Linked DNA regions of Caenorhabditis elegans. The protein of the gene in region 1 purifies or fractionates together with the protein of each later gene. This does not show direct contact. Each region holds a gene or a part of one and is shown on either strand. Other genes may lie near its edges.

Region 1 (3,752 bases):
GTATTTCGGCCGTCTAAAAGGATTCCATGGGTTTGCATCAAGTTGGTTGTAGATCATATCAGCTTCTAAGGGATATTCTTTTTCAGTACGAATAAGTAGAGATTCTAGATTTTGAAACGCTGCACCTGATTTCCAAAGTTTCAGACAACGAATCACATCTTCGTTTGAGATATTCACTTCAGATAGCCATATGTGACGCCCGGTGAAATGCCAAGTAGGTAGATCAATTAATGAACCAACGTAGGAAATGAGCAAGTGGTTTAAGTTTAGAATTTTTGAATTATTCTTGAAGATTCCATCAATCGGGTTTTTAATAACCAAATTCTTCATATTTAGCTGTTCAATGTCGGCTGCTTTGAATCTTCTATTAATTCCACTGGTATTGTGCAGGAAAGCATAGTTAATGTTTTCAATATGCGGTAAACAAGTTGTAAAATCTTTTGAATCAATATTTAAATGAATTTCGCTCGCGGGACGATGTATGGATCTCAGGCGTTTGTCAATGGCCGAGTGAGAAATTTTGAACGATGAGTTGATCGACCACAGTATTAGAGACCCATCTAGTGAAACTCCAATTCTGAAAAAAATAGTTTTATGGAAAACATAAACAATACAGATACATGCCTAGGAACCCTGGAACCCTGGAACCCTGGAACCCTGGCACCCTGGAAACCTGGACCCTGAAACCCTGAAACCCTGAATCCCTGGAACCCTGTCACCCTGGAAACCTGGACCCTGAAACCCTGAATCCCTGGAACCCTGGCACCCTGGAAACCTGGAACCCTGAATCCCTGGAACCCTGGAAACCTGGACCCTAAAACCCTGAATCCCTGGAACCCTGGAACCCTGGAAACCTGGACCCTGAAACCCTGGAACCCTGGAAACCTGGACCCTGAAACCCTGGAACCCTGGAAACCTGGACCCTGAAACCCTGGAACCCTGGAAACCTGGACCCTGAAACCCTGGAACCCTGGAACCCTGGAACCCTGGAACCCTGGAACCCTGAAACCCTGAATCCCTGGAACCCTGGCACCCTGGAAACCTGGAACCCTGGAACCCTGAAACTCTGAATCCCTGGAACCCTGGAACCCTGAAAACCTGGCACCCTGAATCCCTGGAAACCTGGAACCCTGAATCCCTGGAACTCTGGCACCCTGGAAACCTGGAACCCTGGAAACCTGGACCCTGAAACTCTGAATCCCTGGAACCCTGGAACCCTGAAAACCTGGCACCCTGAATCCCTGGAAACCTGGAACCCTGAATCCCTGGAACTCTGGCACCCTGGAAACCTGGAACCCTGGAAACCTGGACCCTGAAACCCTGAATCCCTGGAACCCTGGACTCTGAAACCCTGGAAACCTGGACCCTGAAGCCCTGGAACCCGGGAATCTTGGAGCCTTAAAACGCTGGTGCCCTGGAACCTCTAAACCCTGGAATTCTGGAACAAAGAAACCCTAAAACCCCGTTGTACTTACCTGAATCGAATACCATCCAATTCAAAACAATTGCACCAAAGCCACAGTCCTGCTTTGAATAATAAATCGGGCACAAACAAAATAACGCACTCGTCCTCCACTAAAAATTGATGTTGATGTCTATCAAATGTTTTGTAGCACATATGAATCATGTTTTGCTGTTCCGATTTACAGTTTTGCACTGAAACTGCAAGCTTTCTAAAACAAAGGGATAATGCAAACACGTCGCGGGTACTCAGAAATTTGAAGATCCTTTTTTGAACGAGAACTGGGAGTTTCACAAGATGCAATTTCTTCATTCTGGAAAAAAAGAAAGAAAAATATATAGGTTAATAGCCATAGATTTCTTTACCTCATTTTCCTTAATTTTGCTTTTAAAACATCAAAAGTGATGAGTGAAACAATTTCAACAGCCAAAATCGTAGTACACACAAATATAAAGTTTTCTTCAATATAAGAGCTAGCTTCATTAAGAAATTTGGATAGCGAGGACATAACAATGACTGTAGAATGGAAAAGAGGTAAATTGAGATAGTGAAGAGCACAAGACGCGCGCGCGCAGAGCACGAATTATCGATCGATAATATTTATTGCCGGCGTTGGTGTAGTCTTGCACCATGTTACCGAGCTATTCATATTGCACGTGGAGCCAGAATGTCTTATTTCGATTTGATCTTAAAACTGCGGGAGTTGAGACCCAGACATCTTATCTGATTTCGCATGGCTAAGAGCGTGCTGACGTCACAATTTTTCTGGAAAAAGTGCCCGCTTTTTCGGTAGATCAAACTGTAATGAGACAGTCTGACACTATGTGATATTGGGAACATTGCTTGAATTATCGAAGGTTGCTAAAACCGATTTTTGGCCATGTTTTCTAGTTGAAGCCTATTGAAATCAAGGGAGGTGAATGTAATATTCTCTCATTTCTCCAGTTGTTACAGTCGATTGAGGACAATCGGTGAATAGAAACAGAGGGGCAATCCCTGAAAGCTTACCACACCACTAGACAAAAATGTGTACGGAGGTTAAACAGGGTTATACTTGAATATTGGTAAAAAACTCAATTTGATATGCACTTTTACTTTTGAGAAATTGTCATTCTTAAAACTTTCACATACATAGTTTTTCTATCATTTTTTTTTTGATTAATTATTTTTGTTGCTATAATTTTATTTAGGTAAGCTTGTAACTTAGCTAAAGTAAAATGATTTCTTTTTTGTTTTTGTGCAAACAAAGCACTTCAAAATACCGACAGTTGAATATTCCAGTTTATTACCGTTAACAAGTATTGACAAAAAAAACGTTATCTTATAGTTTCCAGACGTAAAGTTCCAAACAATGCGGCATAATGTATATAGAGGCCATTTTCTCAATACCTTCGATATCCAGATAACGAGCAAAGTCCATTTTGCTGCAATTGTTTGAAAAGTTGAAATACCGTACACTGAAACGCAATTCTTTTAAAATAATAAATAGAAAATCAAAGAAAACTGACTTTTCATCAAATACATAATACTGCGGCCGTCTATCAGAATCCCATGGATTTGCATCAAGTTGATTGTAGATCATAGCAGGTTCTAAGGGATATCCTTTTTCAGTACGAATAAGTAGAGATTCTAGATTTTGAAACGCTGCACCTGACTGCCAAAGTTCCAAGCAATGAATCACATCTTCGTTTGAAATATTCGCTCCTGATAGCCATAGATGACGACCGTTGAATTGCCAAGTCGGTAGGTCAATCGTTGATCCAGCGTTGGTGAGGTACAAATGATTTAGGTTCAGAATTCCTGAATCATTCTCAAACCTTCCATCTATTGGGTTACATATAACCAAGTTCTTCATATTTAGCTGTTCAATGTCGGCTGACTTGAATCTCCTATTAATTCCACTGGTATTTTTCAGAAAAGCGTAGTTAATGTTCTCAATATGTGGTAAACAAGTTGTAAAATCTTTTGAATTAATATTTAAATGAATTTCGCTCGTGGGACGATGTATGGATCTCAGGCGTTTGTCAATGGCCAAGTGAGAAGTTTTGAATGATGAGTTGATGGACCACAGTATTAGAGACCCATCTGGTCCATTTTCTACTCTGAAAAAAAAATTTTGGCAAACATATACATGCCTTGAAACCCTGGAATCCCTTGAACTCACCTGAAACGTACACCTTCCAATTCAAAATCTTTGCACCAAAACCACAGTCCTGCTTTTAATATCAAATCGGGCACTAACAAAAGAACGTACTCGTTTTCAATCACAAATTGATGCTGATGTCTAACA
Region 2 (3,752 bases), on another chromosome or scaffold:
GCCCGAAATTAAAACTTCCGGCAAATCGCCAAATAGGCAATATCCCGAAAATAAAAATATTCCGGCAAATCGCCAAATTGCCTAAAATTAGAATTTCCGGCAAATCGCCAAACCGGAAATTTGCCGAATATCAAAATTTCCGGCAAATCGCCAAATTTGCCGTTTATCAAAATTTCCGGCAAATCGCCAAATTTGCCGTTTATCAAAATTTCCGGCAAATCGCCAAATCGGCAACTTGCCAAAAATCAAAATTTCCGGCAAATAGGCAATTTTCCAAAAATCAAAATTTCGGGCAAATCGCCAAATTGCCTAAAATTAAAAATTCCGGCATATCGGCAAAATGCCCAAAATGAAAACTTCCGGCAAATAGGCAATTTGCCAAAAATCAAAATTTCCGGAAAACCGGCAAATTGCCTAAAATTAGAATTTCCGGCAAATCGTCACTTTGCCGGGAATCAAAATTTCCGGCAAATAGGTAAACCGGCAACTGCCGCCTGCCAGATCCCATTTTCCATAAGTTCTCCTTTTCATGAGGCCTCCAAATGCCTACCAAATTCCTCAGCCTCCTCTTCTCCCTAACATATCGATCTCGATGCTTCTTCCATTGTTTATAAATCGACGGAACTGTTCCAGGATATCGTAGTTTATCAATAATCATTCCCCATGCTTGAGTACGACAGTCTCCATGACGATATTTTGGATCACGAACATCATAAAGACACGGATGCCTTCTCACTTCAAGAATTAGATTTTTTCCAAAACATGGCTCAGCAATCTTTTCATGAACTCCAGTTGGCTCTTTTCGAGATGGTGATATTTCTGCTCGATCTGTCATATGTGGATCTAGAAAATGAAGATGTTTGAAATATTGCCATGATGATTTCTCATTTCCATATTTTTGTTTTCTCTTCTCTTTTCCATATTTATCTCTTAATTGCTTCCATCTCGCAGATAACATTCTCGGATCACCATCAAAACCGAGTACAGTAACCAGACGCTGCCAAACTCGATTTTTGTATTCTGTATTACGGTATTGTCGGTCTGTATTGTCGAAAAGGCATCGACTATGACGGACGGCTTCGATGAGACGTAGGTTGAATGTCGGTTCGATCATTTCCTCGCCGAAGCGGGTCGCTGTGTAGTTCCTGCAAAAAAAGGTTATTTATGATTTTTTTTAGAAAAATCAGATAATTTTCTGATTTTTTTAAGCGAACTTTTTTTTCGGAAAAATGCTTTTTGGGATTTTTTTGAGTGAATTTTTGATTTTTCTAATTTGAAAAAAAAAACTGATAACATCAAACTTTATCCAAAAATATGTTCTTAAAGGAAAACGCGATTTTTTGAATTTTTATCGAATATATAATTTTAAAAAATAGTTTTTCTGTCGGAAATTAATTTTTTTTTAAATTTTTTACAAAAAAAGCGCAGTTTTTTTTAAAAAGAAAATCGAGTATTTTTTCTCAAGAAAAAACACCTTAAGATTTTTAAAGATTTTTATCGAAAAAAAATGTGTTTTTAATGGAAGATCAAGTTTTTTTTTAATTCAATTTTTTTTGATAGAATATATAATTAAAAAATGGACTTGTTTCGAAAATTAACTTTTTTAAATTTTCGTATTAAAAAAATTGCAATTTTTTCGAAAAATCTGGTATTTTTCGAAGGTTTTTAGAAACATCTTTTTTTTAAAGTAAAAAACGTTTTTTTTTTTCGAAAAAAAGTGTTTGCAAAAACTGATTTTTTACCTTTTTAAAATAAAAAATTGTTTGTTGAAAAAAAAAAATTTTGACAACAAAAGTTTTTTTTTAATTTTTTTATTTAGTAGATTAAATTATTTTTAGCACTTCGTAAGTACTTACAATTAGAAAAATTTTCTTTTTTCATATATAAAAAATTGTTGATTTTTCGCCAATTTATCGGAAAATAAATTGGATCTTTTTTGAGAAAAATCTGATTTTTTTTTTCAAAAATTCGATTTTTCTAAATTTATCCAAATATCATTTTAAACTCACATATCGTATTGTTCTTCGTGATATAAATGCTGATAGTTGTGCTCACTGGAGATCATGATTAGCTGAAAGTGTTAGAGCAATCGCTTTTTGAGACGGCTTTTAGAGATATTATGAGGAAGGTTTTAAGGAAACCATTATGGGGAATAAAAAGAAAATAGATGTGATAGAAAATATTGATTTTTTTTCAAAAGAAATCAACAACAAAAAAACAAAACAAAACAAAAAAAGTAACAATTTAAATCTAAAACAACAGAAATCGCAAGCTCGTGTACTCCACGAGGAGAAGTAAAGTACTAGAATTTTGAATTTAACACTAAAAAAAAATGATTTTTTGCTTTAAATCCCAGAAAAAAAATGAGATTTTCAATTTTTGGTGATTTTTGGCAACTTAAAAATTTTAATTTTAAATTAAAAATTTGCATTTTGTTAACAGTTGCTGTTCGGCAAATTTCTTTGTCGACAAAATCGGCAAATCGGCGAATTGTCGACCTGCCGATTTACCGAACATAAATTTGCAGGAATTTTTTGGAAGAATTTTTACGAGACGGAAAAACTTGAAACTGTGCTTTTTTGAAATTTTTTTGTCGGTTTTCTAGATATTTTCATAGAATTTGCCAATTTTCAAATTAGATGTAGGAATAGTCATAGGATGCGTACAGTTTTGCCGATTAAAATTTAAATTCTGAAATATCAAAAAAAAAAAAGGTAAAAAATCGCAATTTGCCGAAAATCTATGGCAATTTCCGTTTTTTCGGCAAGTTGCAGGTTTGCCGATTTACCGCAAATTTTCAATTCCGGCAAATTTGCCGATTTGCCGGAAAAAAATCGTTTGCCGCAAACACAACTTTAAATGCCAAAAATATACCGTAATTTTAATTTGAAAAAGTGGAGATTTGCAATTTTTGGTAATTTTTGGCCACTTTTAATTGTTTTAATTGTTCAAAAATTTGCATTTTGTTAACAGTTTTCTGTAATTTTGAGCAAAAACTGTAAAAATTTTGCACTTCTCCACGAGGAGTACACGAGCCGCGTAAATCGACACAAGCTGAACAAAAATTACAATATTTAAAATGAATTCAATTTTCTTCCTTTTTCACTTTTTTCGCCGCCAATTTCTTCTGAAATCGATCTCTTTTATCCAATTGTCCACTAATTTTCTCCAGCTTTCTCTTGGAATTTGTCATTCTTCGAGTCCTCATTTCCTCCAAATGCCTATCAGCTTCATCTTCATCCATTCCACTCATCAGAAGCTCTTTTCTTCGATTAATCTCCTTTTTCTCTCCGAATTTCTGATTTTCCAGCTTCAACTCGGCTTCTTTCTTCGCCACAAGCACTTGGGTGACGTATTTGGTGACATGTTTTGGGCTGACCTGAAAAAAATGCGAAAATTAAGGGAATTTATTGATTAAAAAGTAGATTTTTTGTGTAGAGAAATGAAAAGAGACGGGGGAAAAAATGATGAAAAAAAAATTATTTGCGTCAATATAGAGAGAAACGCAGTCAACTAGAGAGTGAAAAATGAGAGGAAAATATTTTTTTTTGGCGTCATTGAAAGTGGAAGGAGTTTGGAAATTCAATATTTTGGCGGGAAATTCAAATTTTTTGAAAAAAAATGTTTCTTCCGCCTTTTTCGTGTTTTTAGCAGAAAAACTCGCTTTTTTCGAAAAAAAAATTAAAAATTTTCCTTTTTTATCCAAAATATGGCACTGGAAAATTACAAAAGAAGTGCAATTTTTGTTTTTT
Region 3 (3,752 bases), on another chromosome or scaffold:
ACAGAGATCTACGAAACGGGAACCAAAATTAATTCTATGAGAAGGAGATTTACGAGAAGTGAATCTACCAAAAGAGTATCTGGGAGAAGAGGATCTAGAAATTTGCTATTCTACGAGAAGGGGATCAACAAGACGGAGATCTACGAAACGGGGATCTACGAGAAGAGAATTTACGCAAATGGGAACTATGGGAAGAGGATCTGCGAGATGGAAATCTAAGAAAAGGGGATTCCACGGAAAAAGAGTTTACAAAAATGAGATCTACGGGATTTTCTCGCCAAAAACTAGGGAAAAACGAAAAATTTTTTATTTTTCAAATGTTATTTAGCGAAAAAATATGGTAAAATCATTTTCTAATGGATTTTCGCCAAAAAAAAAACTCAAAGTTACCTGAATAATTTTCGCACTGCTTGTCCAAGAAACCGGATAAATCGAAAAAGAACCCTCAGTCCGACTGCCTCGTCCCAATTGTCCATCCATATTACTACCAACACTCCACATTTTGCCATCTTTTGTCAGGAATACTGTATGTTGTTCACCACACGTGACTGACGTCACTGCGGTTCCATCCATATCATTTGGAGCGCCAACTGAAATTTTGAACAATTTTCAGAGAAAATTCCGAGACGATTTTAAACTATTTTCACACAGTTTTTAAACAAATATTCAAAAAAAAAGAGTTTTTTAAAGATGCATACAATTTTGCTCCAAAGTAATCAATTTTTTTTCGTTAGGCAAATTGCCGATTTGCTGGAAATTTTCATTTTAGGCAAATTGCCGATTTGCCGGAAATTTTAATTTCTGGCTTTTTGCCGATTTGCCGGAATCTATCATTTTTGAAAAATTGCCGATTTGCCGGAATCTCTCATTTTCGGCAAATTGCCGATTTCCGGAAATTTTAAGTTCTGGCTTTTTGCCGGTTTGCCGGAATCTATCATTTTCGGCAAATTGCCGATTTGCCGGAAATTTTAATTTCTGGCTTTTTGCCGATTTGCCGGAATCTATCATTTTTGACAAATTGCCGATTTGCCGGAATCTCTCATTTTCGGCAAATTGCCGATTTCCGGAAATTTTAATTTTAGGCAAATTGTGGATTTGCAGAAAATTTTAATTTCTGGCTTTTTGCCGATTTGCCGGAATCTATCATTTTTGACAACTTGCCGATTTGCCGGAATCTTTCATTTTAGGAAAATTGCCGATTTGCCGGAACCTTTCATTTTAGGAAAATTGCCGATTTCCGGAACCTTTCATTTTAGGCAAATTGCCGATTTGCCGGAAATTTTCATTTTAGGCATATTGCCGATTTGCCGGAAATTTTCATTTTAGGCAAATTGTCGATATGCAGAAAATTTTAATTTCTGGCTTTTTGCCGGTTTGCCGGAATCTTCCATTTCCGGCAAAATGTCGGTTTGCCATTATTTCTTTAAAAAAGTTTTTTTTAAAGTTTTGTGAAAGATTTACAAAAATCTTCCAATTGTTTTTTTTTCATCCGAAATTTTTTAATTTTTAAAATTTAATTTCGGAATTAATTTTTTTTTCTGTTTTCTAATTTCTGCAACAAAAATAGCTCCGTACTAATTCTCTCGGGAACTTGAATCGTCGACTCGGAGAGCCGAACGCCGAGCTGTCCCTCGCCCGTGTGTCCACATCCGAGCAGCTCAGCTCGCATTTTCTGAAATCTGATTTTTTTAACAATTAAATTTTAAAAAAACAATCTAGAAAATATCATAGTGTGATCTCAACAACTTTAGTTTTTGAAGCAGTATCAGAGGAAAAAATCTGAAAAAAAAATTCAAATTTTTTCAAAAAAAAAAATCAAATAACAACTGCAACAACAATAAAGGGAACACGTTGTGACAGAATGTCTCATTTCGGTTTGATCTACCTAGATCTACAAAAAATGCGGGAGTTGAGACGCAGAGTTCTCAACTGATTTTGCACGATTAAAAACGTGCTGACGTCACAGTTTTTTGGGGAAAAATTCCCGCATTTTTTGTAGATCAAACAGAAATGAAACACTTTGGCACCACGTGAGGGAACAAAAAAAAATCGGTGGCCGAGTTTTTTCCACACGGCCACGTAGCAGAATTTATAACTGTGTAGGGGATAAATGGAGATAAATTAAAGGAGAAAAAAGAGATAACAAAAAAAAAACAAATTATTCAGTCATTTCTTGAACATTTTCTTCTGGAATTTCCAGAGTTTCAGCAGATTCTGGAGCATCAGTTGAGCTGCTGGACGGCTCCGCAGCCTTTGCGGCTTCTTCCTTGCGAGCCCACGCGGCTTCACGGTCTTGGGCGGCCTGAAAAATTGATTTTTTGGACAAAAATTTAACTTATTTCTCATGAAATTACTAACAATTTGTGAAAACTTCCAAAAAAATTTAGTTAAACTTTTTTATTAGTTTTTTTTCTTCAATTTTCAAATTATCCTATTTTTCTAAAAATAACAATTTTCCGGAAATTCTAATTTCTGGCAATTCGCCGGTTTGCTGATTTGCCGAAAATTCTAATTTCTGGCAATTTGCCAGTTTGCTGATTTGCCGGAAATTCTAATTTCTCGCAATTTGCCGATTTGCCGGAAAATTAAAATTCTGGCAATTTGCAGAAAATTTGATTTCTGGCAATCTGGCGGTTTGCCGATTTGCCGGAAATTTTAATTTCTGGCAATTTGCCAATTTGCCGGAGATTTTAATTTCTGGCAATTTGTCAGTTTGTTGATTTGCCGAAAATTCTAATTTCTGGAAATTTGCCGGCTTGCCGATTTGCCGAAAATTCTAATTTCTGGAAATTTGCCGGCTTGCCGATTTGCCGAAAATTCTAATTTCTGGCAATTTGCCGGTTTGCTGATTTGCCGAAAATTCTAATTTCTGGCAATTTGCCGATTTGCCGGAGATTTTAATTTCTGGCAATTTGTCAGTTTGCTGATTTGCCGGAAATTCTAATTTCTGGCAATTTGCCGGTTTGCTGATTTGCCGAAAATTCTAATTTCTGGCAATTTGCTGATTTGCCGGAGATTTTAATTTCTGGCAATTTGTCAGTTTGTTGATTTGCCGAAAATTCTAATTTCTGGCAATTTGCCGGCTTGCCGATTTGCCGAAAATTCTAATTTCTGGCAATTTGCCGGTTTGCTGATTTGCCGGAAATTCTAATTTCTGGCAATTTGCCGGTTTGCTGATTTGCCGGAAATTCTAATTTCTGGCAATTTGCCGGCTTGCCGATTTGCCGGAAATTCTAATTTCTGGCAATTTGCCGGTTTGCTGATTTGCCGGAAATTCTACTATCTGGCAATTTGCTGATTTGCCGGAAATTTTAATTTCTGGCAATTTTTCGGTTTGCCGGAAATTTTAATTTCTGGCAACTTGCCGATTTGCCGGAGATTTTAATTTCTGGCAATTTGCTGATTTGCCGGAGATTTTAATTTCTGGCAATTTGTCAGTTTGTTGATTTGCCGAAAATTCTAATTTCTGGAAATTTGCCGGCTTGCCGATTTGCCGAAAATTCTAATTTCTGGAAATTTGCCGGCTTGCCGATTTGCCGAAAATTCTAATTTCTGGCAATTTGCCGGTTTGCTGATTTGCCGAAAATTCTAATTTCTGGCAATTTGCCGATTTGCCGGAGATTTTAATTTCTGGCAATTTGTCAGTTTGCTGATTTGCCGGAAATTCTAATTTCTGGCAATTTGCCGGTTTGTTGATTTGCCGAAAATTTTAATTTCTGGCAATTTGCCGATTTGCCGGAGATTTTAATTTC

Evidence for each region.
Region 2: the proteins of F40G9.18 (region 1) and madf-3 fractionate together in Caenorhabditis elegans (co-fractionation; one large-scale study listed by BioGRID). This does not show direct contact.
Region 3: the proteins of F40G9.18 (region 1) and herc-1 fractionate together in Caenorhabditis elegans (co-fractionation; one large-scale study listed by BioGRID). This does not show direct contact.

Annotation. Positions count from the first base shown.
Region 1 is NC_003281.10:167,587-171,338, forward strand, and holds the start of F40G9.18 (F-box domain-containing protein), read right to left. Parts: upstream 1,993-3,752; 5' UTR 1,971-1,992; coding exon 1,828-1,970; intron 1,776-1,827; coding exon 1,476-1,775; intron 1,308-1,475; exon of another isoform or gene 1,203-1,307; intron 1,181-1,202; exon of another isoform or gene 903-1,180; intron 578-902; coding exon 1-577. Other genes in the region: F40G9.9 (F-box domain-containing protein), read right to left, coding at 2,784-2,919, 2,971-3,564, 3,627-3,752.
Region 2 is NC_003280.10:4,333,069-4,336,820, reverse strand, and holds the start of madf-3 (Alcohol dehydrogenase transcription factor myb/sant-like protein), read right to left. Parts: upstream 2,074-3,752; 5' UTR 2,010-2,073; intron 1,146-2,009; 5' UTR 1,115-1,145; coding exon 551-1,114; intron 1-550. Other genes in the region: H20J04.4 (RNA helicase), read right to left, coding at 3,086-3,379.
Region 3 is NC_003279.8:1,209,412-1,213,163, reverse strand, and holds the start of herc-1 (HECT domain-containing protein), read right to left. Parts: upstream 1,680-3,752; 5' UTR 1,670-1,679; coding exon 1,576-1,669; intron 591-1,575; coding exon 391-590; intron 1-390. Other genes in the region: nsun-2 (tRNA (cytosine(34)-C(5))-methyltransferase), read right to left, coding at 2,159-2,302.